6 linked regions of the Nothobranchius furzeri genome follow. The protein of the gene in region 3 purifies or fractionates together with the protein of the main gene of each other region. This does not show direct contact. Links are inferred from orthologs where the notes say so. Each region holds a gene or a part of one and is shown on either strand. Other genes may lie near its edges.

What was found.
Region 1: the proteins of prpf40a (region 3) and rbm25b purify together in Homo sapiens (affinity purification with mass spectrometry; 5 studies listed by BioGRID and IntAct, with this or other methods). This does not show direct contact. The link is inferred for Nothobranchius furzeri from reciprocal best matches to the Homo sapiens genes PRPF40A and RBM25.
Region 2: the proteins of prpf40a (region 3) and sf3b1 purify together in Homo sapiens (co-immunoprecipitation; 3 studies listed by BioGRID and IntAct, with this or other methods). This does not show direct contact. The link is inferred for Nothobranchius furzeri from reciprocal best matches to the Homo sapiens genes PRPF40A and SF3B1.
Region 4: the proteins of prpf40a (region 3) and ncbp3 purify together in Homo sapiens (affinity purification with mass spectrometry; 3 studies listed by BioGRID and IntAct, counting the BioPlex papers as one, with this or other methods). This does not show direct contact. The link is inferred for Nothobranchius furzeri from reciprocal best matches to the Homo sapiens genes PRPF40A and NCBP3.
Region 5: the proteins of prpf40a (region 3) and snrnp70 fractionate together in Homo sapiens (co-fractionation; 3 studies listed by BioGRID, with this or other methods). This does not show direct contact. The link is inferred for Nothobranchius furzeri from reciprocal best matches to the Homo sapiens genes PRPF40A and SNRNP70.
Region 6: the proteins of prpf40a (region 3) and RNA-binding protein with serine-rich domain 1 purify together in Homo sapiens (affinity purification with mass spectrometry; 4 studies listed by BioGRID and IntAct, counting the BioPlex papers as one, with this or other methods). This does not show direct contact. The link is inferred for Nothobranchius furzeri from reciprocal best matches to the Homo sapiens genes PRPF40A and RNPS1.

What each region holds. Positions count from the first base shown.
Region 1 is NC_091742.1:8,418,762-8,422,717, forward strand, and holds the start of rbm25b (RNA-binding protein 25b), read left to right. Parts: upstream 1-1,156; 5' UTR 1,157-1,343; intron 1,344-1,805; 5' UTR 1,806-1,823; coding exon 1,824-1,902; intron 1,903-2,028; coding exon 2,029-2,240; intron 2,241-2,381; coding exon 2,382-2,439; intron 2,440-3,956. UniProt on the Homo sapiens protein: RNA-binding protein that acts as a regulator of alternative pre-mRNA splicing. Involved in apoptotic cell death through the regulation of the apoptotic factor BCL2L1 isoform expression.
Region 2 is NC_091754.1:36,030,132-36,033,484, forward strand, and holds the end of sf3b1 (splicing factor 3B subunit 1), read right to left. Parts: coding exon 3,163-3,353; intron 2,821-3,162; coding exon 2,604-2,820; intron 1,014-2,603; coding exon 855-1,013; 3' UTR 501-854; downstream 1-500. UniProt on the Homo sapiens protein: Component of the 17S U2 SnRNP complex of the spliceosome, a large ribonucleoprotein complex that removes introns from transcribed pre-mRNAs.
Region 3 is NC_091754.1:18,353,379-18,357,591, reverse strand, and holds the start of prpf40a (pre-mRNA-processing factor 40 homolog A), read left to right. Parts: upstream 1-1,413; 5' UTR 1,414-1,509; coding exon 1,510-1,512; intron 1,513-2,757; coding exon 2,758-2,838; intron 2,839-2,920; coding exon 2,921-3,061; intron 3,062-3,874; coding exon 3,875-3,958; intron 3,959-4,196; coding exon 4,197-4,213.
Region 4 is NC_091750.1:26,050,512-26,054,761, forward strand, and holds the start of ncbp3 (nuclear cap-binding protein subunit 3), read right to left. Parts: upstream 2,801-4,250; 5' UTR 2,266-2,800; coding exon 2,089-2,265; intron 1,763-2,088; coding exon 1,697-1,762; intron 965-1,696; coding exon 859-964; intron 773-858; coding exon 647-772; intron 539-646; coding exon 413-538; intron 331-412; coding exon 191-330; intron 112-190; coding exon 3-111; intron 1-2. UniProt on the Homo sapiens protein: Associates with NCBP1/CBP80 to form an alternative cap-binding complex (CBC) which plays a key role in mRNA export. NCBP3 serves as adapter protein linking the capped RNAs (m7GpppG-capped RNA) to NCBP1/CBP80.
Region 5 is NC_091758.1:13,866,500-13,870,733, reverse strand, and holds the start of snrnp70 (U1 small nuclear ribonucleoprotein 70 kDa), read right to left. Parts: upstream 2,801-4,234; 5' UTR 2,618-2,800; intron 2,342-2,617; 5' UTR 2,336-2,341; coding exon 2,189-2,335; intron 2,109-2,188; coding exon 2,046-2,108; intron 1-2,045. UniProt on the Homo sapiens protein: Component of the spliceosomal U1 snRNP, which is essential for recognition of the pre-mRNA 5' splice-site and the subsequent assembly of the spliceosome. SNRNP70 binds to the loop I region of U1-snRNA.
Region 6 is NC_091752.1:58,150,434-58,154,641, reverse strand, and holds the start of RNA-binding protein with serine-rich domain 1, read right to left. Parts: upstream 2,801-4,208; 5' UTR 2,679-2,800; coding exon 2,677-2,678; intron 1,775-2,676; coding exon 1,625-1,774; intron 1,529-1,624; coding exon 1,349-1,528; intron 1,270-1,348; coding exon 1,164-1,269; intron 862-1,163; coding exon 708-861; intron 611-707; coding exon 469-610; intron 395-468; coding exon 289-394; 3' UTR 1-288. UniProt on the Homo sapiens protein: Part of pre- and post-splicing multiprotein mRNP complexes. Auxiliary component of the splicing-dependent multiprotein exon junction complex (EJC) deposited at splice junction on mRNAs.

The sequences.
Region 1 (3,956 bases), on a different chromosome or scaffold from region 3:
ACCATGCACTGAGAGGCGATGTTTTTTGATCTCAATCATCCCATCTAGCGACAACATAGAGAAATGATTCGCATAACACTAAAACCACGCGTCAAGTTCAAATCTCAAGTGGCGTCTAGTTTCCCTGAAATTCGACATAGACTGTGGGTCTTTTTACTCCGACGGATGAATATTTCAAACACGAGAAGGTGTGCTTCGTTTCTTCTAGCCTGCTTCTAGCACTTTCCATGAAAGCCCCGCCTTAAAGTGACGTCACAGATCTCCCCCTTTCCTCTCCCGACGTATCATCTGTCACAAAATGTTCCTACAGCAAAAACGCCTTAACAACCATCAACTCAACCCTTTTCCGTACTGAATCATGAGAATATATGCTTTATATTGTCAAATGAACTAATGGTTGTTATTATATGAATTACAGATTTTCTTATGGACATAGAACACCAGTGGAAGATGGACTGCTATACATAAATGTAATACTATATTTGTCATGTTGATCACGACTTTGGAATTGAGTTTTTAGTACAGTGTAAGGGGAAGAAGTCACTGTTGTCAAGTGGATTAGAGTGGAATAAATGTACGCAGTTAGACCCATCAAATGCAAGAGATGCACAAATGATTATGATTCAGCTTTCTATTATGTAGTTTAACTACAGAAGACACATTTATAAATTTAGATAGTAACCTCAGTGATAAATAACAGAAGTACAGTCATACTTTGCATACAGAATATGTTATTTATTAGTTACAATTTCAGAATTGGTAAGAATGACCATTTTAACAATAATGTACACAGAATTTTTATGTACTCTTTTAAAAAACATTTAAAAAGAAGTTTAACATTGAAATAATCATATGATGGCTTTATCCTCTAATTGATTAAAACGAGTAGGAAAATCACAATGCTGTTTTTTTATGTGATCAGATGTTTTGTAAATTAAACCGATTAGAAACAAATCGTTTTAATAAAAAAAATGCGGACCGCTTTTTTGGTGTAACTTAATTTCAATGCTATTATTATTCAACCTTTTTTATTCATTTAGTTACTACCGCGCATTAGGTCTTCCAAGGTTAGTTAGGTAATCTGATCGAACCCTGTTAGCAGAAGTTTCGTTTCCTGAAAAGGGTTCATTTTGCGAATTCACATTAAGCCCCGTTCAGTGTATACACTCTGGTGCACAAAACAAGCGCGCCAGTACTCTTGCTCCTAAAGCGCGTGCGTCAAACTTTTCGAGGGCCCGCGACCAGCTAGCGTGCTAATCAGGCGTCCAGAACGTTAGCTATTAATTCACTATCATTAACATTTTTAGTGGATTTTATCTCATCATACGCCACCTGGTTGAGTGGTAGGTATATGTAGAGGCTTTTATATTTACTTCGAGCTCATGTTTAGCCTTGGGAAAGTCAGTGTTTTATTATAAATTAACATCTGCTCGGGCTAGGTTACTTTAGCATTTTAGCTGTGCCGGTGTTATATCGGGTAACGTGCTCATTGCTAGCTTTAGCGTACTTAGCTGTTGTGTGTGGTTAGTCTTAATATTGTTGAGATGTTAATATTTTTAAGAAGTTTGGACTTTGTTACTTCTAATTAGCGAATGGCACCTCACAAAGTTTGGCTAAGTTTAGTTAACGTTCCAGCAAAGTCAAATAAAAGTCACTATCGATTTGTAATGTTCACCACCGAGACCTTCAGTGTTTCCTCATTGTGGATACACTAATGTTCGCTCCCTCTGTGTTTTTACTTGAGCTGTTTGGACGTTTTTACCTTATGCAAACAACACTAATGGCCTTTAATGTGTCTTCTTTAGGCCACATTCACCCTCAAAATGTCCTTCCCTCCTCATTTAAATCGACCGCTGTTGCCCCCACCTGGGATTCCTCCTCAGTATGCTGGCTTCCCCACAGGTAAGTACCAACCAGGCTCCCGTAAATTACGCAACATGACACCTCTTAGATGCTCATTATTTGTAATAATTTAATTAATTTCATATTCACAGTCTTAACAACTTTTTTTTGTTGCATGTGCTGCAGCTCCTATGATCCCTGTCCACATGGGCATCATGGCCCCCACCCCTGCAGTCATGGTCCAGTCTGTTCCAGTCCTCAGTAAGCCTCCCATGCCAAAGAAAGACTATTCTGCTCTGCGAGCCAAAGATGAAGAGAGCAGTGGACCTATCACCACCGTGTTTGTGGGGAACATTTCAGAGAAAGCTTCAGACATGCTCATCAGACAGTTGCTGGCGGTAAGAATTAGAAAATATGTGTAAACTACACATACCTTTTGAATATCCATATATAGAAATGCTGCTTGCATAATTTTTGTTAACTGTTAATGGTGTGTGTGTGTTTATTATGTTATTTTAGTAATTGTCCTACGTTTACAGAAATGTGGTATTGTTTTGAGCTGGAAGAGAGTCCAAGGAGCCTCTGGCAAACTTCAAGGTGATTTACAGTTCTGCACAGCAACTTTCAGTAGCTTACTCTCATTGCTAACTTTCGCGATCACTTAAAGAAAACAAAACAATGTGGTCCAGAGGTGTGAAATGCAACTTCTTACTAAACAAATAAAAACCACACATTTGTGAATAACAAAGAAATTAGGGATGGACAATATATCAGCATCAATATCGGTATCGGCCGATGGTAGTCATTTTTTAACATCGGTTCGATAAATAAAACCGGGCCGATATTGACAACCAATATTTTTTCCATCCCGTCTCCATTTGTTTGCCTGTTTCAGAGGGTGAGGGGGTGATGTGTTATTGTTTAGTCATGTGAACAGTGAATGTAATCATCTCAGAACCGTAAATGGTGTGTTGTGTCACACAACAGTACACAGTAAATTTAGTTCACAGTAAAGATGTTTGCTTCAGTTTAACTATCAGCTTATAAAACTACAAGGACAATGTTAAAATACAAACTTGTATGTTATTTATCGTGATATTTATCAAATATGGTTATATATTGAGAAAAATATATATTTAATTATAAAAGAGAATTAAAATAATAAACACTCAAAAGTATCGAAAATTGGTACCGTTAAGTACCGGTATCGACTCGTAGGTACCGGGAATTAGTACCGGATCGATTCAAATGTCAAAGGTACCCATCCCTAGTTGTGTGTACATAACGTAAATTCAGCATTAATAATTTTCATTCTATACAAGTCTGCTGATTTTGAAGCATAAATGTCAGTATATCTGTATCGGCAAATAACGGTTATCGGCTATAACAGTGATATTAATATCGGAAATCGGTATCAGCCCAAAAGTTTTATATCGGTGCATCGCTAAAAGAGATGTTATGTTTTTCAACGGTTATGATACAAATATTCAGAGATGCTTGGCTGTTGCAAAACAACCAAAGTTACCAATTCCTACTTGCTTATGCTGATTTCTCTTTCTGCTTTGAAAAGAGACACATTTCAAATATTTCGGGAGAGATTTGTTTACAGGGAAATTTGAGAACTACAGTGTACACCAGAAATGTGAAATTGCATGTAGGGCTGAAAGAATCATCGAATGATTCGAAATGTTCGACTCATTTAATTCCTCAATTCATTTTGTACTGATTCGAAGCTTCGTTAAATGTGCGCAACACAGTCTGAACACATTTTACTTGAGCACCATGTGGTGATCTAGGTGCTGTGGAGGAAAATGGAGAAACCAGCAAAGACAGAAACCGTTGTAAAAAGCAGAGGCGGTCCAAAGTTTGGGATCAGGAGTTAAACTACGAGCAGAATTTCTAATGCTAAGCTAGCGGGTAGCATTCTCACGAGCAAGTGTGGTTCAGAAAAAAACGTGATGGTTGTGAACGCCTTAACTCTAAAAGCAGAAGAAAAATCCCCATCATCCCTTTTATTTGTGGACCTCTGCAGCGGTGTGGGGCAGCGCCGCAGCAGCTACCGAGTCTTCTCCATCCCCGCAGGACTGTGGCAAGCCGTTGTAGCATATAATTCA
Region 2 (3,353 bases), about 18 Mb from region 3:
AACTGTCAGTGATGTGCCGTCGTTAGGTGAAAACTACACTGCATTTGAATTTAAATCCGCCATCGCTATTGGCCAACAGGTTCACTATGACTTAAGCTGGTACATTATGATGTCACAATGTCGTGAGTCTGTTTGTATTTGTTAGCAGCTCCGCCCTCTCGGTCTGCCAGGCAACAGCATTTGTTGCATTTTTCAAACAGGAAGTGGGAGTGGGGTAAGACTCTGGTAGGGGGTGACTTGCTCTTTGAATCTAAAGCAGCGCTACATGTTTATACGAAAGCTAATCAAGTGCGACTATGAAGAATCCTTTAGCCCAGCAGCTTGCTGGAGAATCTGGGTCAGAAGATCTGCTGAGCAGCACTGAGCTGAGTGCAGGTTTGTCTCTGCTTTCCTCTTAATGACGTTAAATTTCCTACAGAAAGAGGGTCGGGACATGAAAGTCCTTCTAGAAGAAAGGAAGCATTAGAATGCTTGAATAAAGAAAAGCTTGCACAACAACGGTCTATACACAAACCTTTTATTTGGTTAAATAAAGCATTGATCCAATAAGAACAGGGATGGTGTGAAAAAAGGAGATGTGGGCGATACAGAGGTCTACAGGTGATCATTCACTCAAACAAACGGATGCAAATATTTAAAAGGGATTGTGATGATAGCTCTGCTTTTCTAAATCATCCGACATCAACTGCTTCTTACAGCAAACACAAAGTAAATAGTAAAAAATACATACAGACTCTACAGGCTCATTTATGCTCCCACGGAGAAGCTGGGTGTGAGCGACACACTGCCACTAAATGAAAATGGACTCGGAGGCGATAGAGAAACAATAAGAAGGGGAAATGATCTGTGTGTATTTACAGGACATACTCGAGCTCGTAGCGGACGTACACATTCTTCTCATCGTTGTAGACTTGTGGGTAATGAGCAATCAGGGCATCCTGAGAGCCGATGTAGATGGAGTTGTAAATCTTCCAGTAGACATCCCTCACCTTCCTGGCAGGGTGAAACAGGCCCTGTGCAGATCAAACAAAATGTAAATGTTGGGATTTCTCTGAGATGATTTGGAGGAAGAGTAGAATGTACAAAGTGTGCAGCTGTGTGTAGGCGGTGTGTCACAGGTTCAAAAATCACTTTACACATGTAAGCAGTTCATTTACCGAGCTTAAAGCTGCTATAGCGAATCTACATAACAAGCTAGGTTTCAAACGCAAACATGGTCACAGAACAGTCGTTCCTCCCTTGGTGAGATGCTTCTGCCAGAACTGGAAACCTGCGATTCCCGTGTGGTCAGAGGAAACGAGATGGTGCTAAACACCAGTCTAGGGCTGCAGTTACAGAATATTTCAGTATTGGAATATTGGTAACGCTTCCTTTTACAGTTCCCTAATTACTAAGTACATACATGGTAATTACATAGTAAGTAAAAGTGTATTATTGTTTCTGAGTTCTTAAACAGTTATTACCATGCAACTCAGACTTAATTCTAGTTTTTATTTTATTAATCTATCAAGTGACTACTGCTTTATACAATAACTACACCTTAGTACAATTATACGCTTTAATTACAAAATAACACACTTTAACTTACTGTGTAATTACCATGTAAGTACTTAGTAAGTAGGGGACTGTAAAAGGAAGTGTTACCACATTATTTTATCGAGCCCTCCATCGATTAATGGAATATTCTGTTTGACGACAGTTCAAGTGGAACGAGACAGTGGTCTGCTGCTAAGAATATGAAAATAAAACAACTAAGCTATAAAAGGCTCAATAATGTGTATTAAATTTGTGTTGTCTAGTTCCGTTTTTCCCCAGCTGATATTTATAATCTTCTTCTGCTTGTAGAGTTTAGTCATCCAAAACCAACGTGTTTTTCTGAACCCCACTTGATCACGATCATGCTACGCACTAGCTTAGCATTAGAAATTCTGCTCATAGTTCAACTCGATCCCAAACTTTGGGAGCGTTTCTGCCTTTGCTGATTATCCATTTCCCTCCACTGCACCTAGATTACCACATTGTACACTAGTAACATGTGTTCAGACTGTGGTGCGCACATTTAACGAAGCTTCGAATTAGTATAAAAAAAATAAATAAAAAAGAATTGAGGATTTCAATGAACTGAACCATTGAAAGATTCATGTAAGCCTATACCTGTCACCCTTTTCTAGGTCCAAATGCCTTTTGTTGTCCGTGACTTTAAATGGTGCTTTTTTCCTTTTTGGGACTCTGGTAGTTTGTCCTAAAGGTGAAGTGGTAGCAGCTGGCCGTTTCTCTTTCTCTGATATTAATGAGCGGAGAGCGTCTCACACCAGTGGTGTTCTGCTGCTAAATATGAGAGTGTGTGATGAGTGGAGGACCCAGGGAAGTGTGGCGGATTGGTGAGACCAACAACCAGATGGTCCAATAGTTGTTTTCAGTCTGAGCCGTGTTATTGGTGGAGGTTTTTAGACAAAAGACAGAACCGCTTTACCATTTTTAATGTCTACAATATATTTCTCGTTAAACTATGTTAGATCGTTGTTAAGAGACATGAATAAACCAACTTAAGTTTGAGTAAAGATTCTATGCATAGTTCTGTAACTGAAGCCCCTCCTCCTTACCTGTAAGCAGTACTGCAACATGCGGCAGGGTCCGATGGCGACTCTCAGCCCCTCCAGGGCACCCATGACAGCCTGGATGACATGAGGTGATGTCTCAAAGACGTTGGGCCACACGTAGTTTAGTAAATGGTTAAGAGAGTCCTCACAACCAAAACCGTAGACACCCAGAGACATGTGCTGAACCACAGCACTGGCGGTCTGTCTGTGGACCAGGTCCCTGCAGGGTGAAGAACAGAAACTGGTGAGATTGCAACTCCACAGTGAGGCCCTCAGCCGTCCCGGTTCTCTGATTAACTTTACATTCGTTTTCAGTGTTTCTATTAGCAACTACTTCTTTTCAGTAACATGAAACGTCACTGATCAGAATTCTAGAAAACAGATTTTGTTCCTCATACTTCTCAGAGTAACTTAAGTTCAAAGTAATGTCTAGTGTCTCAGAACAGAGCTGCTGCTGCGTGGCATTAAGCACTTCAGGATGAGGATCAGGCTCCAGCGCTGGATCAACCAGCTCCTAACCTTCAAACAATCATTAAGTTTTTCCCAGAACGCGGGGTCTTACCTGTCCATGAGAGCATCCTCCAGCAGTGGTGTGACAGCGTAGATGTAGTCTTTGCCCATTTCACCAATGTACTCAAACAGGAATGAGAGAGACTTGAGAACACCGTTTTGCACATTGAGCTCAGGCACTCTGTATTCATTCATCAACGCTGGCAGCACAGTGAAAGGAGAGCAGGTCTCTGCAACAATGGC
Region 3 (4,213 bases):
CAGATGGTTCAGAATGCCTGTGCTCGGCTTCTGACCAAGTCCTCCAAACACCACATCACCCTGCTTCTCCTCCAGCGTCACTGGCTGCCAGTCAACTTCAGGGTTCATTTCAAGATCCTGGTTCTGGTCTTTAGGGCCTTACATGGACAAGCACCATCACACATTGGTGATCTTCTCAGTCCCTACACCCCCAGCAGGTCCCTGAGGTCCAGCGACCAAAGCCTACTGGTTGTGCAGCACACCAGGCTAAAGACCAAAGGTGATAGATAATTTGCTGCTGTGGCCCCCAGACTCTGGAACTCTCTCCCCCTGAGCATGAGATCAGTGGACTCCTTTAAAAAGCAGCTGAAAGCCCACCTTTTCAAGCTGGCTTTTGTGTGACCTTTTTCACCACCCTTTCTTTATTTTGCTCTTTTTACTTATTCCACCATTATCTACTTTATCTTGATCTACTGATTTCCCTCTTCCCTATTCACTGTCTCTCTCCCTTTGCTTACATTATTTTTCTTTAATCACAAATGTAATATTTTTTCTCATTTTAAGCATATTATTAATAACTTTTTGATACTTTAATTGATTTTTTTGTTTGTTTGTTTATGTGAAGCACCCTATAGGTTACAATTGTAGGTCACTTTGGATAAAAGCGTCTGCCAAATAAATGAACATATATAGCAGAGGTGTGGACTCAAGTCACATGACTTATTTTAATGCCTTCTGACTTGACTTGATAAAATCTATAAAGACTTACGACTTGACTCGGACTTGAACGCCAATGACTTGCGACTTGAATCAACTTGCATCTGTTGACTTGATGATGACTTGAGCATATTTGATATTTTAGAACAAAAGTGGCACAACATGGACAAAAATCATAAATCATTCTTCGTTCTGGGTTTGATTTTGTACTGCTAATGCAGCAGCACTTTGTTTATAATCAATTTCAGTTGCACTTTCTGCTTGTTTGAGCAAATGTATTAAGCTTTCAGAAGCTTTATTTCTGGAATTTATTTATTATCATTGTCATTAAATTGAAGTTTGACAGATGACTTCATTATGACTTGAAAATTCAAAGATAAGGACTTGGACTTGATTTGGACTTTCACATTATTGACTTTGGTCTCGACTTGGACTTGTCTTTCACTTGAACTTGACTTGAGACTTGACTGGAAAGACATGTGACTTGCAAAGCAGTGACTTGGTCACACCTTTGATATATAGAGATAGAGACTGATAAATAGGGATATAGACAGCCTTAGGCTGGCTTGGTGCCAGATATTTCAAGTTTTTTTATGTATTTATTTAAAAAAATTATTTAATGTTTATTTTATTTTGTGATACTCAAGCGAGCTCGTGTCTTGATTGCGCAGTCTCTTGCAGTGATGCGCATTTTCGACGCAGGATGTCATTAAAGAAGCTCATCATTTGACCTACCTTCGTCACGAGCAGCTTGAACCAATCGCTGTGGTCGTTGCTGAAAGGTGTTCGGATTTAGCAGAGGTCCTCGTCAACATGGTGAGTGTAGCCGCTCTTAAGAAAAGTTCTGGAACAAAGATAATACCGTTTTAAGTTAGCGGTGGTTCGAATGAGATATATATTTTTTTCGTTATAAAATCCGCGTCTTTACTTTTGCTGCGAAGGAGAGCGATGTTTTGCTGTAGACCACGGGTTAGCGTATGTGTTAGCATTGAGTTTAGCCGCATATCATGTCATGGCGTAGTGTATCACCCGGAATAAAAGCTGCAGTGCAAAATCTAAAGTTCAAGCAACACTAGAGATGTTTTGACTTGTTAATGTGTCACTTCATTAGGCACTCTTAACGGTGTTTCTAGCGTGGGGTGTAAACAGGGGCCATTTATTAACTCGTTAAAGTTTTGCCGTTCACCTTTAACAATTTTCCCAGGATTTAGACGAAGCCTGCCAGTGTAGTAATTCTTAATCAAAACTAGCTGCTATCATTGTCAGGACTCCTAACCACCGTTGCAGAAACGGCTGTGTACGTTTAATAATTTAAGATAAGATCGGACTAATTCAATTTACTGTCCGTGTTTATGTCAGTTAACCACATTTAGTGGGAACATTGTTAATTGCAATCCAGTATTTTAGCTGTTCCCACATCTTTGGTGTTGATGGGAAATGTGATGACTCTGTTTTACTTTAAATTCGTGTGTTAGATCATATTTTAGCCATACATAAAATATTAACACATTTTAACAGCAGGGCCGGATGTACAAAATGAATAAAACTGCTGTCAGCAGTCAGAAATTGGATCAAATGAGTTGATGAAGAATAGAATTGACTTTATTAATCCCACATTGGGGAAATTCACTCGTTACAGCAGCGCATACATTGAAAAAAAAAACCAGGGAGAATGAAAAAATTAACAAAGGTACAGGTAAATACACACAGGCAGTGAGCATTTTTTTGTAACCTACCACTAAAAACAGCAACTAAAAAATTGGAACTTTTTTTTAACTATGGTGCAATATCAAAGTTTTAAAGCAGATATTCAAGCCTGTGCGGCAGTTTTTACATAAAGCATTGCAATGGCTGTGGAAAAAAACTGGCTCCCAGAAATGTCCCTGCTGCAACCGAGACCCTAATACTCACTGAAACTTGTTTCTAGTGGCCTCTGACCTTTCAGGCTTCTACATTACAAATTGTGCCATCCTGTCAAAAGTTTGGACTTTTTTTTTTAAAGTAAATGAATGATGCACACACTGCTAATGTTCTACTACATTTGTGGTGTTCTTATTACAGTCTTCATCAGAGAACAGTACTGGCTCGAGTCAGGCAGCGTCTTATCCAGTTGTACCCCCCGCAGCAATACCTCCCCCATATGTAAGTTATGAAAATGTTTACAACAACTGTTATTTATTTATTTATTATTTTCTGACATCTTGTAATGTAATTCCATGACTAGATGGGACCGCCGGGTATGCCTCACTACCCTGCCATGGGAATTCCTCCTATGGCCCAGCGACCACCCAGTATGACCCCATTGCCACCTGGTATAATGCCCCCTGGCATTATGCCACCTATGGCTGCACCACCAATGGGACAGGTAGACTTCTGTTTTTGTTAAAAAATATATTTGGCCTACATATTTGTGCATTTGTAGTTCTTTATCGTTTCTTTGTTCCAACCATTACATGTAAATCAGATTTAATCCATCCATCCATTGTCTGACCTGCTTTGTCCACGTTGGGCCGCGGGGGGGCTGGTGCCTATCTCCAGCGGTCAATGGGCAATCAGGTGGTGTAAACCCTGGACAGAGAGCCAGTCCACCGCAGGGCAACACAGAGACACACAGGACAAACAATCATGCACACACACACTCGCACCTAAGGACAATTTAGATAGACCAATTAACCTAACAGTCATGTTTTTGGACTGTGGGAGGAAGCCGGAGTGCCCGGAGAGAACCCACGCATGCACAGGGAGAACATGCAGACTATCAGATTCAATCAGAAAGTCAAAATATATCAACTCTTAAAATGGTCTGAATACAAAGTTAAGTAACTGGTTGACTAATTACTTCTACAATATTCTCATTCCCCTTTTTATTTTTAATTAAAACCAAATAAGCATTTTTTTTGCTCACTTTGGTAAGTGCATGTGATCATGATACACTGAAAATGTGATTTTTATTTTTATTTTGGGAAAAGGTGTCACCAGTTTGAGAAGTTGAGATGCAGTTTGGTGTCTCTAAGTATTCACACAGCTAAATAAGAGAAGCACTCAGCTCCAGTCCCACCTTTTTCCTCCAAGTTACAACGCAGACACCCGTTCTCACACTGTGTCTTAATACTTGGCACCTTCACTAGTTTGGTTTCAAATGTTGCAGATGAGTGTTTCACAACGCTTCTTTTATTAGATGGCAGGCATGATGCCGCCCATGATGCCGGGGATGATGATCCCACCTCGCATCCCAGCTGCATCTGTACAACCGACGGGGCCGGTAATTTTATCACCATTTTTTCTCCTCTTCTTCTTTTTTTTTTTTCCCTAAAGCAGGGTGTTTGATGCTTCACACGTCTTATAAATAACCTGCAGTCTGTTTGATGCTAACATTTACACGTATAAGTAACTCTTTTATATTTTTTATTTATATTTGTAAAGAAAAACAACCTAATCTGTGAATTTTCTTGTATCTGTCACTGGTAAATCACAAATAAATGTTTTTTTTTTCTCCACAGCCAGGTGTTGACTCCAC
Region 4 (4,250 bases), on a different chromosome or scaffold from region 3:
ACCTTGTGTAGCAAAGCGCAGAAACAGTTTGTTTCCTTTAAACGGTTTGATGGCAGGTCTCAGCTCGTTCCTCAGCAGCGACTCCCTCTCAGCTGCTGACAAGTCGTCCACCTGACAAAAACCGCTGAGTCAGTCATTGGTGACACACAAACTGCTGAGTCACTTTGTGACATCACAGTAAACGCTCTACCTGGCCACCATCCACCTTCCTGTTCTGGTCCACTTCTTCATCACCATTCTTCTTCACCTCCTCTTCCACCTCTCCCTCCTCCTCCTCCTCTTCATCATCATCATCATCATCCTCTTCTTCCGACCCTCGAACCCGTCGAGCTGTGATGTTAAAACAGATTAGATTACCTATAATGCACCACACCTTCATGACATGTTCAGTTCAGTCGTGACTCAGACCCACTTTTGTTCCGTTTGCCCGGCTGCTCGCTGGACTCCGTCTCCGTGACAACAACCTCTGGTGTGGGCATCTGGCTGGAGTTGATGAGAGCTCTGATACAGGTGTCATCATCCAGCCAAACTACGTTACCTAGGCGACAACAGGACAGGTGAGATGCTGCTGAGCAGCACTGCTGTCCTGGACCTCTGCTCTGATTGGAGCAGAACGCATTTTGTTACTCTCATGTTCGTTACTCACAGGAAGTGTCATTGATCCACTCAATGTGGGCTGGAGGATACTCCCTGAAGTACCCGAACACATCCTGCGTGCTCATGTCGTCCACACCACTCACATGGATCGCCTCCATCCGCAGTTTAAAGATGGCTGAGCACCACAGAAGAAGAAAGCTACAGTTCCATAAACCCAAGCAGACTGCTGTTAATGATTTGAAACAGAACACCGGCTCACACCTTTCTTCATGGCATCTTTATCCAGGAAGACGTTCCTCTGACCAACGCTCTCCTCACAGCGGAAGTGGAAACGTCTTGCTCGTTTCTCTTTCCTCTCAAACGCTTCCTGACAAACAAAACCTACAATCAGATACCCGAGACTTGAAGATCACTTTTACAACTGAAATCATTAACAATGATCAAATATGAGCTAAAAGTGTTTCCTGATTATGTTCAGATTTCACAAAATGACCTGAGCTTGTCCTTTATGAGAGCAACATTTACAATCAACAGGAACAGACAAGAAACAACAAACCAGCACCTGCTGTCGCTGAAGTACAGGTGGTACGTGACATCACAGCATTGCATTCTGGGTACTTGAGGCTACATGGGCATAAGTGAACTACCAGCTGCTGTTCCAGAGAAGACGGCGTTCCCAACAGACAACTCGAAGATGGGTGGCGATTATCTAGAGCAACCTAACCCTAACCCAGCGGTCAGAGGAGGATTGGGTTGTGGACTGACGACCCTGCTCAAACCAGTAAGCCGTAGATCTGTTAGTCTGAGCCTTCATCATCTGGAATGTTTAAAATGACGTGGTTTTATCTGAGCGGTGGTCACTGCTGATCCTTGCTCCCATCCATCATGAGGTATGGCAAGCTGTTGTGTGTCACATGAGAAGCACCGCTGTACCTGGCACAGGAGGAGAAGCTCGAACAACTAGTTCTCAGATGAAAGCTCGCCCTTCCCAGAATGTGCTCCTAATCATGAAGAAGCCTCAGCTTGTTAGACCTGCTCGCAGGATGCACTAAAACATCCAGGAGTGTTTCTCCAGCTCAGGTGTGTCCGGTTCCGGTACCTTCGAGTTCACGTCTATCCCGGTGATGAACGCTCCGGCCTTGTTCTCGTACCTCCGGCTGGTGTCCTGAAAACAGCAGATCCAGAATCAGCCTGAGGAGCTTTCCCGGGGGGAGCCCTCACCTTGTATTGTTTACGTTTGTGTCATCTACCCTTGACAGAAACAAACAAACTCCTGGCTTTTATTCATCTCTCGGACTACAAACAAGTAGATTTTAAATTGTGATTTTTCTTCATTAACGAAACCTTTGACTTCAAAGCCATTAAACGGAGACAGAAACCGCGGTTGCTAACCGGGGAGAGCCGCTGCTTCAGCGCCGGCGCCTCCCGCTGCTCGGCCGGCGGGAGGCACACGCGAGTCCCCGGTCTATCGAGGCCTAGTCGGAAACTTACCGGGAGCAGCTCCTTCAGAGAGCGGTTAACCGAGATGTCCTCCGCCTCCAGCTCTCCCTCCTCCACCTCCATTGGTTCGGCCTCACGGGCATCTCGATCTGACTCGGAGTCTGAGTTCGGTTCCGAGCGATCCGAACCGCTGTCTGATTTAACCTGTAAACTGCGCACTGCCGCCATGGCGCTAACTGCAGCAAACAACCGCAGGTGGTGCTGCGCTGAATCCTGCGACAATTCAGCGCGCTTCTTCTTCTACGGTGCAATTTTTTTTAAACAATCTTTATTGACACATTTGCAGCAGACAAGACATAATATATTGACAAAACAACATCGATGTACAGGGTGTGATACATTGACAAACAGAGAAGAAAAAGAAAACACTGTTAATGAAAGTAAACATAAATAATTATATACAAACAAAATAACATAAAATAAAACAAAATTCCACTAATACATTACCTTGTAATATGGGGCATAATAGAATTCATCAAGTTGCATATTTTCACAGCTTTCTTGTTTTTACTAATTCTACGTACAGTCTCATGAAAAAAATTAAGAACAATATAAAATAAAGTTACATTTGGTATAGTCTGTAGAAATCTGACTTTATGAATGTGAAATTTACCCAACAGACACAGCAATTTTATTACATTGTTAACTTCCTTGTTACATTTAACGTTTAAGAATAAGACCATACTTTCATTAAAAGTAATCAATATTTTATGAGAATCCCAAACTAATGAAGACAATTGATTCCAAAACTGTACAACTAAAGGACAACCATAAAACAAATGAGTAAGAGACTCAACACCTGTTTTGCAAAAGGAACATAAAGGGGACACATCAGGTCTAAATCTATTAATAAATTCATTACACGGATTATATCTATGTAAGATTTTCAAGTGTATTTCTTTAACTTTATTGGGGACAAAAAATTTCTGAACCTCAGAAAAGGCATTGCTACTGATGTCAGGAAACATTACCCTCCAACGATGTAATGAATTTGGAACCTGACTATATAGAGAGGTGAAAACGGCTCTAATGTGAGCATTGTTACATGAGTGCTCTTCAAGAAGCTTTCCACCAAGACACAGTGCAGGAATCCTTCCTGTGTAAGGTGTATACTGAACAGGAGCTCTGACAAGAGACAGTAAATGAACAGGAATGCTTTGGAGGATTCTAGAGTGCATAGCGAGAGATGTGTTGAACCCCTTTCGTTGGATGAATTCATCATAGGTAGCTAGGTCCCGTTATCATTCAAAAGATCAAACACAAACATAACACCTTGATCATACCAGTCTTTGTAAAACAGAGTCTTGTTCTTGTGAGCAATATGTTGATTGTTCCATAAAGTACATGTGTGAGGGGAAAAGTTGTGTTTGAAAGCCATTTTCCAAGTGTCCAGGGCTTGTTTGTGAAAGTTGGCCAGTTCAATAGGCAGTTTATCTGAGGTAAAGTTGCATGAAAGCAAGAACTTTAAACCGCCACATTTGTTAACCAAAAAAATTGGGAATAAAAAACCATGGTTCATTATTATGTGAAAGACAATGTTTTAACCAATTAATTTTGAATATATTGTTGATAGTTTGGAAATCCAATACATTAAGACCCCCCTCTGAAATGTGTCTAATAAGTGTTTTCCTCTTTACATATTCATTTTTATGTTTCCAAATAAACTTAAATAAGAGTGAATCAATAGCTGCACAGGTTTTCCTATCAACATATAAAAATAAAGCTGGGTATACTAACCTGGATAATCCTTCAGCCTTGGAGAGTAAAACACGACCTATAATGGTAAGATCCCTCTGTAGCCAGCAATTAAAGACAGATTTAGATTTCTCAATTTTAGGGTTGAAGTTTTTTGAAATTCTTTCACTAGAGGATTTGCTTAATGTGATAACCAAATATTTAACTTCTTTTTTAACCTCTATGCCATCTATTGATACGGTGTCTAAATCATGTATGGCTAATATTTCACATTTTCTCTTATTAACTGTGAGACCAGAAGCATCCGAGAACCTGTTTAAAGCTTTAATAATAACAGGGACTTGAAGATCATTTTGAAGAAAAAGGCTGGTATGACTGGCCAGCTTACTGATGGTTAGAACATCTTGACCTGTTTTAATACCTTTTACATTCACACAGTTAACAATGAAAAGATTAAG
Region 5 (4,234 bases), on a different chromosome or scaffold from region 3:
CTGTGTTTGCACGTTGACAGAAGACATCTGAAAAAGCCCAGGTTAATGAACCTAAATAACTATTACCGTGTGTGTTTCAGTGACAGTTATATCTCAGTTGTTTCAGGTAACAAGTTATACTTGTGCGCCAGCTCCAGGTGGGAGACGCGAACGCACGGAAAGAGACGTTTCGCTCTCTGACTTTTCCGTCTCCTGGGAGTGTTGCAAAGCAATTCCCATGTCTTGTGAGTTAACGGTTAAACTTGTGTGCTAACTAGGCGTCGACCGATTTATCAGGCCGATATTTTGCATTTTTTCATCATCGGCCGATAAGTCTCTTTAGTAGAGCCGATTTAAAGCCAGGCACCTCCGCGGGCAGCCCGCTGCTGCTGGAAGCCGGTGAAGGACCCCAATCCAAAACACTGGGAGTATTTACGTCTGAGTAAAAGGAGAAGCTTCTCTCTAGCGTTTCAAACCCCTACAGCTGTGTTTTCAGTGTGAATTAAAAAGTAAAACATGAAATAAAACTTAGGTGAGTGAAAGAAAACGAGCCGTAAGAACCGCCGGTAACCGGCAGCGCGCTGCTAACGCTTGGCAGCTCGACTCAGCCACGCGTCGCTTCTGGTGATCGGTTCTGACGAAGAACTGACTTCCAAAAACTTGCATTTAATTTTTTTAAAATCTCGCCACGGGTCTCCGGAGCCCAGCGTGGACTTCCCTGACTCGGTACCGACCGGTGCGGGCTACAGAAACGCCCTCAGGCACGAAGATAGAGGCGTTGTGTCTCTTATCTGGAAACCCGGGGAATCGATGTCCAGACAGGCTGGAGTTGGTGCAGCTCTACTCTCACACACTCTAGTTTATCAACATGAACACAACCAACCATAGTAAACACACACTGAGCCAACATCATCGGGCCAGCTGCTAAAAGGGGCATTGTGGTTTGTAAACGAGAACATCCCTACAAAACAGGAACACCCACTTCGTCGTATTCGCTCCTGAAATGTTACTTCACCTCAGATATTCCAAAATAAGAGATTTTCTCTGCTCATCTATCTGTTCTCTGGCTTTGCATTGTTGTACCAACGGGTTACGATTTGTTATGGTTGGACTTTTGTGTTGGAGGGGGTGTTCTCTGCCGATTGTGTGGAGAGTTTCGGTTTGGTTGTTTAGAAAGAGAAGAGATTGTTAACGTTGATTTTCCTGGAGTTAAGGTGTGGGCCAACAGTAACCCGAATAAAGATCAGATACAGAAAGAACAAGTTGGGTAATTACTAGAGCTGTAGCGAAGCGTCGACGGCTCGATTCTAAAAATTCGCCGACGTCAGATCCGGTAGTCGACGCACCGCGCCCACTTGTTGCATCCCCAGGAGTTTGTCAAGAGAGGAGGAATCTGCCTGTTTTTCCTTTAGTTCACCCTCTTCTCCGCCTTCACTAGCATCCCCCAAATACCGAAGACCAGGAACAATGTCCGTCCGCTACTAGATTCCTTTCCTGTTTTGCCCGCCTTAGTCTCCCGGCAACGGACAACAACTTCCGGGGTCAAATGCGCTGCTCCGTCTCTGTCGCAGATGTAGAAAGTCACCGGGAGCGTTTCTCCCTTTGTAAAGGAGCTTCTTTCAGACATTAGGAGAGGTGTGGGGACTTTTATTTTGCCGTGGCGGTGCCACACGATCAATTAGTTTAGACTTTTATTTTGACACGTCTAACAGGGGAAATTACGTATTTTGATGCCCATTCCGATTGGTTGGTGAGAAGCTACAGTAACCCCCATAAAGGCGTTTTTCTGTAGCCCAAGTAGAAACGCCCGCGGCTGGCTGGACCCTGCTCCACTGAGCTGAGGCTTTAGTTACGTGACAGGTAAAAAAGGAGCGTTTTTAGAAGCTCTGCTGAGAAAAGTCACTTTTTACTCCTAAAACTGTGCCGTTGTGTGTTCATAAACGAAATATCCACAATAAGCATTTCGGCTAGTATTTTTGGACAGCATTTTACATGAATTAGAAAACAAATTTTACCTGCAATTTGCTCTTTTAATTATACCTGCACTAATCTAGTGATGGTCTCACCTTCCTCTCCAGGCGCTCCTCCCGGGTCTCTGCTCTGGTCGGTGGGGGGGCATCTCTTGGGTCCTGATCCCAGAACACAAACATTTAGGAGGCACATCAGAGACGAGCGTAGGAAGAGGAAAACCGACTAGAGCGCGTTTCACCTCAAAGTGTCGGATGAACGGAGCGATGCCGCAGTACGGTTGGTTGTGATGCTTCTCATGGGGCAACTTCTCCAGCTGCGGCAGGAAGGGTATCGGGTCCCGTGGTGCGAACAGGGCCAGCAAGTTCGGCGGTAGAAACTGTGTCATCTTTCACTGAAACACGACAGAGTGTGATTGTTACACAATCCGACCGCAGAGCAGGGGCGGCGGGTACTCAGCTAGCGACACTCTGATGACTGTGGTTCATCTTCACCTGGTTAAATCCGCTCATAACTAACTTAGACCCGATGATGAAAACTACTGATAGTAGAGCTGTAGTTATAAAAACGTCCGTTCTCACTTGCACTGTTGCCTTTCTTCGTTTACTTTATGAAGCGCTTCGTCTTAGCCTAAGCTAACAATGCTAACACGAGCTTCGCTACGTCTTACCTTCTTCTCTCCTCCGGTGTTCGACCGAAATCAAACCATGGACCTGAGGTGATGCCGAGTGGGCAGTTCTCCAAAGCAAGATGTGCTTCTAAAGGGTCCGAGCAGCGGTTTAATTTTAAAGGTTCAAAGCTCCAACGTGTCTCGTGTAAATGTCTTAGTTAGCCGTCTCTCAACAACACAAAATGGCGGTTTTGTCGTAAACCACAAAGACTGCCGTAAAGTCGAGAACACCGCCAAGCTCACAGAGAAGGAGGTCTACGCTGCAGCTTGTAGCACGGGGCGGGGAGTGGGCACAGGGTACGACCATATATGGAAAAGGTTCAAAAGGAGACATCTCGTGCCTTCTCTCCTTTTGAACCGTGCTTTTTTCCAGTCAGAGAACCACTCTGCCATTTATTAGTCATTTGTTATAACCCTTTCACTATGTTCTCATGGCTCACAAACACATGTCTAAATAAACAATTTTAGAAAATTTAAATTTAAATGTAGGTTTATCTCGTATAACTACAGGATCCTGAGATACTCTATTTTTCCACAGAAAACCATATTTGTCCCGTCAACACAAGTTTAGACTAAACCCAAAGGAATTCAAATTTCCCAGCTTCCATCCAGCATTCAAACACACCATGTGCGCACAAATCAGTCAGGTGCATGGTCAGGTGTGAAAAGAGTCTTAAAAGTATTTTTGGACTTAGGAACTGATCTGTGTGTAATGTAGTTTTGTCCGTGATTACCAGGTGATTTGTGTGTGTGTATTCAATGATTTGTATGTGTAAGAACTGAAGTTACACACAAAAATGTAAACACAAGTTACAAATCAAGAGTTACACACACAAATTTAGATACACACTCACAGATCTTTTGAAACTTTTTTTTCTCCCCATAAAGGTGCCATTGCTTTCCGGAACTGAAGGCGGCGCTATTTCCTGTTCCAGTTGCGGTATCTCAATTAAAAATACAAGTTTTCTGACTGGTCATTTTGAAAAGTTTACCGATTGAAAATATTCAGTGAATGGATTCACCACGGAAAGCACACAAATTCAGCAAAGGGTATTTGCGCATAATTACAGCAAATTGCAAATGCATTTTATGTTTTGTTTTATTTTATTAGAGAGAATAACATTATTAGTAGTGAAACTGCAACATTGTAATTAGGCTAAAATGAGCACATGGCAGAAAAAACAAGCTAACGCTATCGGTATCAGCTTTTGTCTCCAGTGTTTGATATGATTGGAGGAATTGAGTTTGTCCTTACATGTGATTTTAAAATAGAAAAAACTGCCAATGAAGTTGACGCCCATTCTTAAACAAGCTCTTCTACGCAGGAAACTCATGTACAACCACAATTTTACACCCCACCAAACACCAATCTGGAGCAGTAGGTAGGTACCTTACCTTAACGTTGCGCACATTTTTCCGCCAGGTTTTCTTTCATAAGTCCCAAAGTTTGCGTGGAAAGTTGCTCACGCAGTTTTCCGACCCCGTTTTGTGAGTAAGCAAGCTTGATAAATGAGGCCCCTCTCTCATTTATAAAACATGGCGTAGAATCCTTACTAAAACCGTACTTAAGCTCAGCAAACGAATGTACTCACGCCAAGCAGGTTTGTGACCTACCAA
Region 6 (4,208 bases), on a different chromosome or scaffold from region 3:
TCTGTTTCTGCATCTTTATTTTTTAAAAGTTAAAAGGACGTAATACAAGGTAAAAGGAAACAAAATGTTTGTAGATCCCGGTAGAGGCAACATAAAACTAAGCTAACTTTTCTGAATCAACTTAGCACAAAATTTAAGAAAAAATCAAATGGAACAGAAGCACTCTTGCTATGACCACACATACAGCGTAGATGATGGCATTTCTACTGAGTCAAAGGAGTCTGAGAAAACGAGGGTTGTAGCTGATCAGCATCACAGCGTAGAAAACCACATGACATCTGAATGAGTTTATCTGGAGGAGTTGGAGCTGGAGCGAGAGCGATGGCGCCGGCGACCAGGAGACCTGGAGCGGGAACGGCGACGTGCCGGGGATCGTCTCCTTGGAGAACGAGACCTGAAACAACAAAAACGGCATTATTACCTGTACACGTGTGTGTGTTTATGGCTGAAACTGTCTGTAGGCGATACCTCCTCCTCATGCGTGGTGGGCTGCGCCGCCACATAGGAGGTGGTGGGGGCATTCTGCGAGGAGGAGACAGTCTGCGAGGTGGTAGACGGATCCGTTGAGGCAGAACAGCAGCGGCTGTGATTTCCTGTCCGTCAATCTGACCTGTTTTTATAATAGTCATAAAAAATAATCAACACACAGAAAAGACCCCCAGTGTTCCTGAGACCCAGAGGCTGTTAAATTGAACATGCACACCAACCTCCGTCCATGTGTTTAAGGGCCTTCTGTGCCTCCTCAGGGGTCTCAAACTCCACATAAGCATGGCCCTTGCTCAGGTGTGGGTGCATCCTATCCATCTGCATGTCAATCATTTTGATTTTTCCATAAGTGGAAAAGATCTCCTGGATGTGATCCTGGTACAACAGAAATAGAAAGGTCAGATATTCTCTCAACTTTGACACAAAATTATCTTGATGCCAAACAAATAAAACAAACTCTTTATTTTCTCCTTTTTGTTTTGAGCAGAGCATTGCTGATGACTAACACACCCGATGCACACAAGAAAATCTTCTCAGATTTTATCTTTAATTACTACACATTAAGGATGTGCGTGGCTGTTCTTGTGCACTTACATAACCTTGAGATTGCATCATAGTCTCAAATAAAAGCAGACATGATGAGAAAGAGAAAGCAGATGTTCTTCATTTAAGCTAACCTTGGTAACGTTTCTGGTCAGCCTTCCTAAGTGAACCTTAGTGGGTTTGACAATCGGGCTTCGTTTCCTTCGCTCTTTGTCCTCTCCTCTCTTCTGTGTTTTAGACCTGAAAAATCAGAAAGCAGTAAATAAATAACTAGAAACCAAAAGTCATCGTAAACACTGAGACACGAACAAAGACTTACGGTGATCGGGAGCGCCGGCGGTTGTCATGGCGCCTGCGGCTGGGGCTCGGCGAGCCAGAGGAGCTGGAGGAGGATGACGATCGAGAGCTGGACGATCCAGATCGACTGGTGCCAGAAGAGCTGGATCCACTCGAGGAACCTGAGCTAGAACCAGAGCTGCTGCTGGATGATGAGCTAGATCTGGATCCGGTCACAATCAGAACAAATGAAATGGTTTGTTAGGAATTTTTAGCACAGATTTCTCTAGTGATATAACAAATGAGAAGGAACTCAGACCTGCTGCTGCTGCTGCTTCCAGAAGAGGCACTACGACGTTTCCTTACTTTGTCCCGTCCTCTCTCTTTGTCTCCTTCCTTGGTGGCAGTCTTCTCTTTGCCCCTATCTTTAGATTTTTCTTCCTCCTTCCTTTTCGTAGGAGATGGTGCCCTAAAGTGATGTAAACATCTGTTAGTTTAGTTGTTTTACACAAATGGATTTAACAAATCTAAGAGCTACAAATTGTGGGAATGTTCAAATTCATGCAGAATTCAAATCTGGGTCTAATCTGTAATCTCAACAAGCTGAAAATGAAACCCAAAAAGTGTATTTTGTGTTTTCTGTCAGTTAAAATGAAACACAAAGCAACATTTTAACTGTTGTGTTTAATCTTTAATGCTAAGGAATATTTCTTTAGTGTGATGCACTACCATTACTGTGGAATTACCACAGAACGCTAAGTTGTTATTCCAGCTGTTAAAACAACAGACTAGTCAATAAACTTCTGTCTCTTTGTTTAGAATAATTAAACCCCAGTAGGTTTATTTCCTTTTGTGCAACAAAGATTTTTATAATTTTATTTTCTTGAACATTTATCAAAACTACACTGATGTCTCAATTTTAAAATAAATCCCTTAATGTAAAAGCAACTGATAAAAAAAACTAATAACGTTTTTCTCCTAATATTACACAACTTATCTGGCACCAAAAATTCAAGCCGTAAGCTAGCTGAAAGAGACTAAACACGATATACATGATTTATAACTGAAATAAATAAAAACAATCCACATCACACATAGTTTAGGGAGCACCAAATGTCTGCTGGAAATCGTAAACATTTGTTATGTTATTATAGGAAAAAGCAGCACTCAGGCAGAAATCCGCCGCCAACGAGTTTCATTCAGCCCGCTGCCTCTAAACAAGGAGAGCTCCGACCATGCCGTTAACCGATCACTCAGCTCTTCACGCAACAAGCACACGACGGTAAAACACGCCTGGGTTTTCAGAGTTGATTAACTAAGCATCACAACTAAAAACGGACAGTTTTAAGCCAGGAAAGAGCTCAAACCTACATTTTTTATGGACGATGTAGCTCTGCTTCCACCACTTGCGGCCTGTTCGCTTGTCGACGGTTGATGACGCCAGCGGAAGTTGCGTTCCTGCTTGAGCGCCACTTACAACTCATTTGTTTATTTTACGACGTTGACGGTGAAATATCAGCTTGCATTTCCGACATCTCTGTAGAAACACAGACGGACGCGCTTTTGGATATGAAATGAGTTTGTCAAGTTTGAAACGGTGGTGGGGCTTCGCTGTTGTTGACAGAGAGAGAGAGGTACATTAATGACAGATGTTGTTGACAGCTAGCTCAGCTAGCATCTGTTTTCCTGTAGATATGTGTCCAATGTTGACATGTAGATGCGGTTTGAGCTGTTGCGTTGCTGTAGCGCATTACGCGTTAGGACAGTGTTAACAGCTGTCTTTAAGAAGACACAGATCACAGCCATTGACGGACTGCATCAATAAATTCATATTAATCTGTTTTCATTGAGAATGGAAGTTTTGGGGCTTGGTTTGTGTTTTGAAACGTTCACCGTTTGGATTTCTTTTTTAAGGATTCCGGAGTAAAAAGGTGAAATGATCATGCATCATGCCTGTAATTTCACCATGGTTTAACCAGGATTTATTAAGTGAGCTCATATCCACATGCGTGAAACAGCCTCATGCTTGTTTTATAAAAGATTAATTATTTGGTCTCCTGATTACTGGAGTTGATTATTTGTACCTTTCAAATAACCATGTTTAACTGAGGCATTAATGGTCCATCTATTTTCAAGAAACTCCTGAAGACCCTGCTCTTCAGAGAACATCTTCTAAACTAGCACCCTCCCTGCACCCATCCCCTCTCTACTGTCCACTCCTTGTTCTCCATGATTCATCATGCTGCCTCACTGCCACCAACTGACTGGAAATTGTTTGTTGTTGTTACTGTTGTTGTTAGCCTCAAGGGCAACATGCTGATTATCACTTGTAAGTCACTTTGGAATCCAAAGTTTGGACTAAAGCGTCTGCAAAATACATAAACATCTATCTATTTAAATGGATGATTAAAAAATATTTAACCTGAGGTTTTGTTGCAGCCATGTGACTGGATGCTACATACGGTATGTTGATTATACATGTTCATTTCTGAATCAAGTGTGAGCTGAAAGTAGATTTTTATTTGCAGAAACATTATTTCATTTAAAAAAACTTCACTTTTCCTAAAATCTGGTTTCAATACCTGCACAGCCCTAAAACCTACATTTATGTCCCATTCACTTGTGCTTGAGATCATGAAGTAAAACGTGTGTGTAGATATGCTGATGAAGGTTCTCAGTCATCCAGGTCATGGTAACCCAAAGGGTTCAGATGAAGGCAACTGGACTTCTTTAGTTTCTTGAAGACAATTTGCTTCTCATCTGAGGAGCTTTGTCAATTCTAACTGGAATATGGGAGAGTCAAGCTGTCTATTGTTATTTAACGAGCCAAAACTACTCTGGGTACCCGCTTCTCCATCCCCTGATGAGTCGTCAGCCTCTATTGGGAGGGAGTTGTTGTGTTG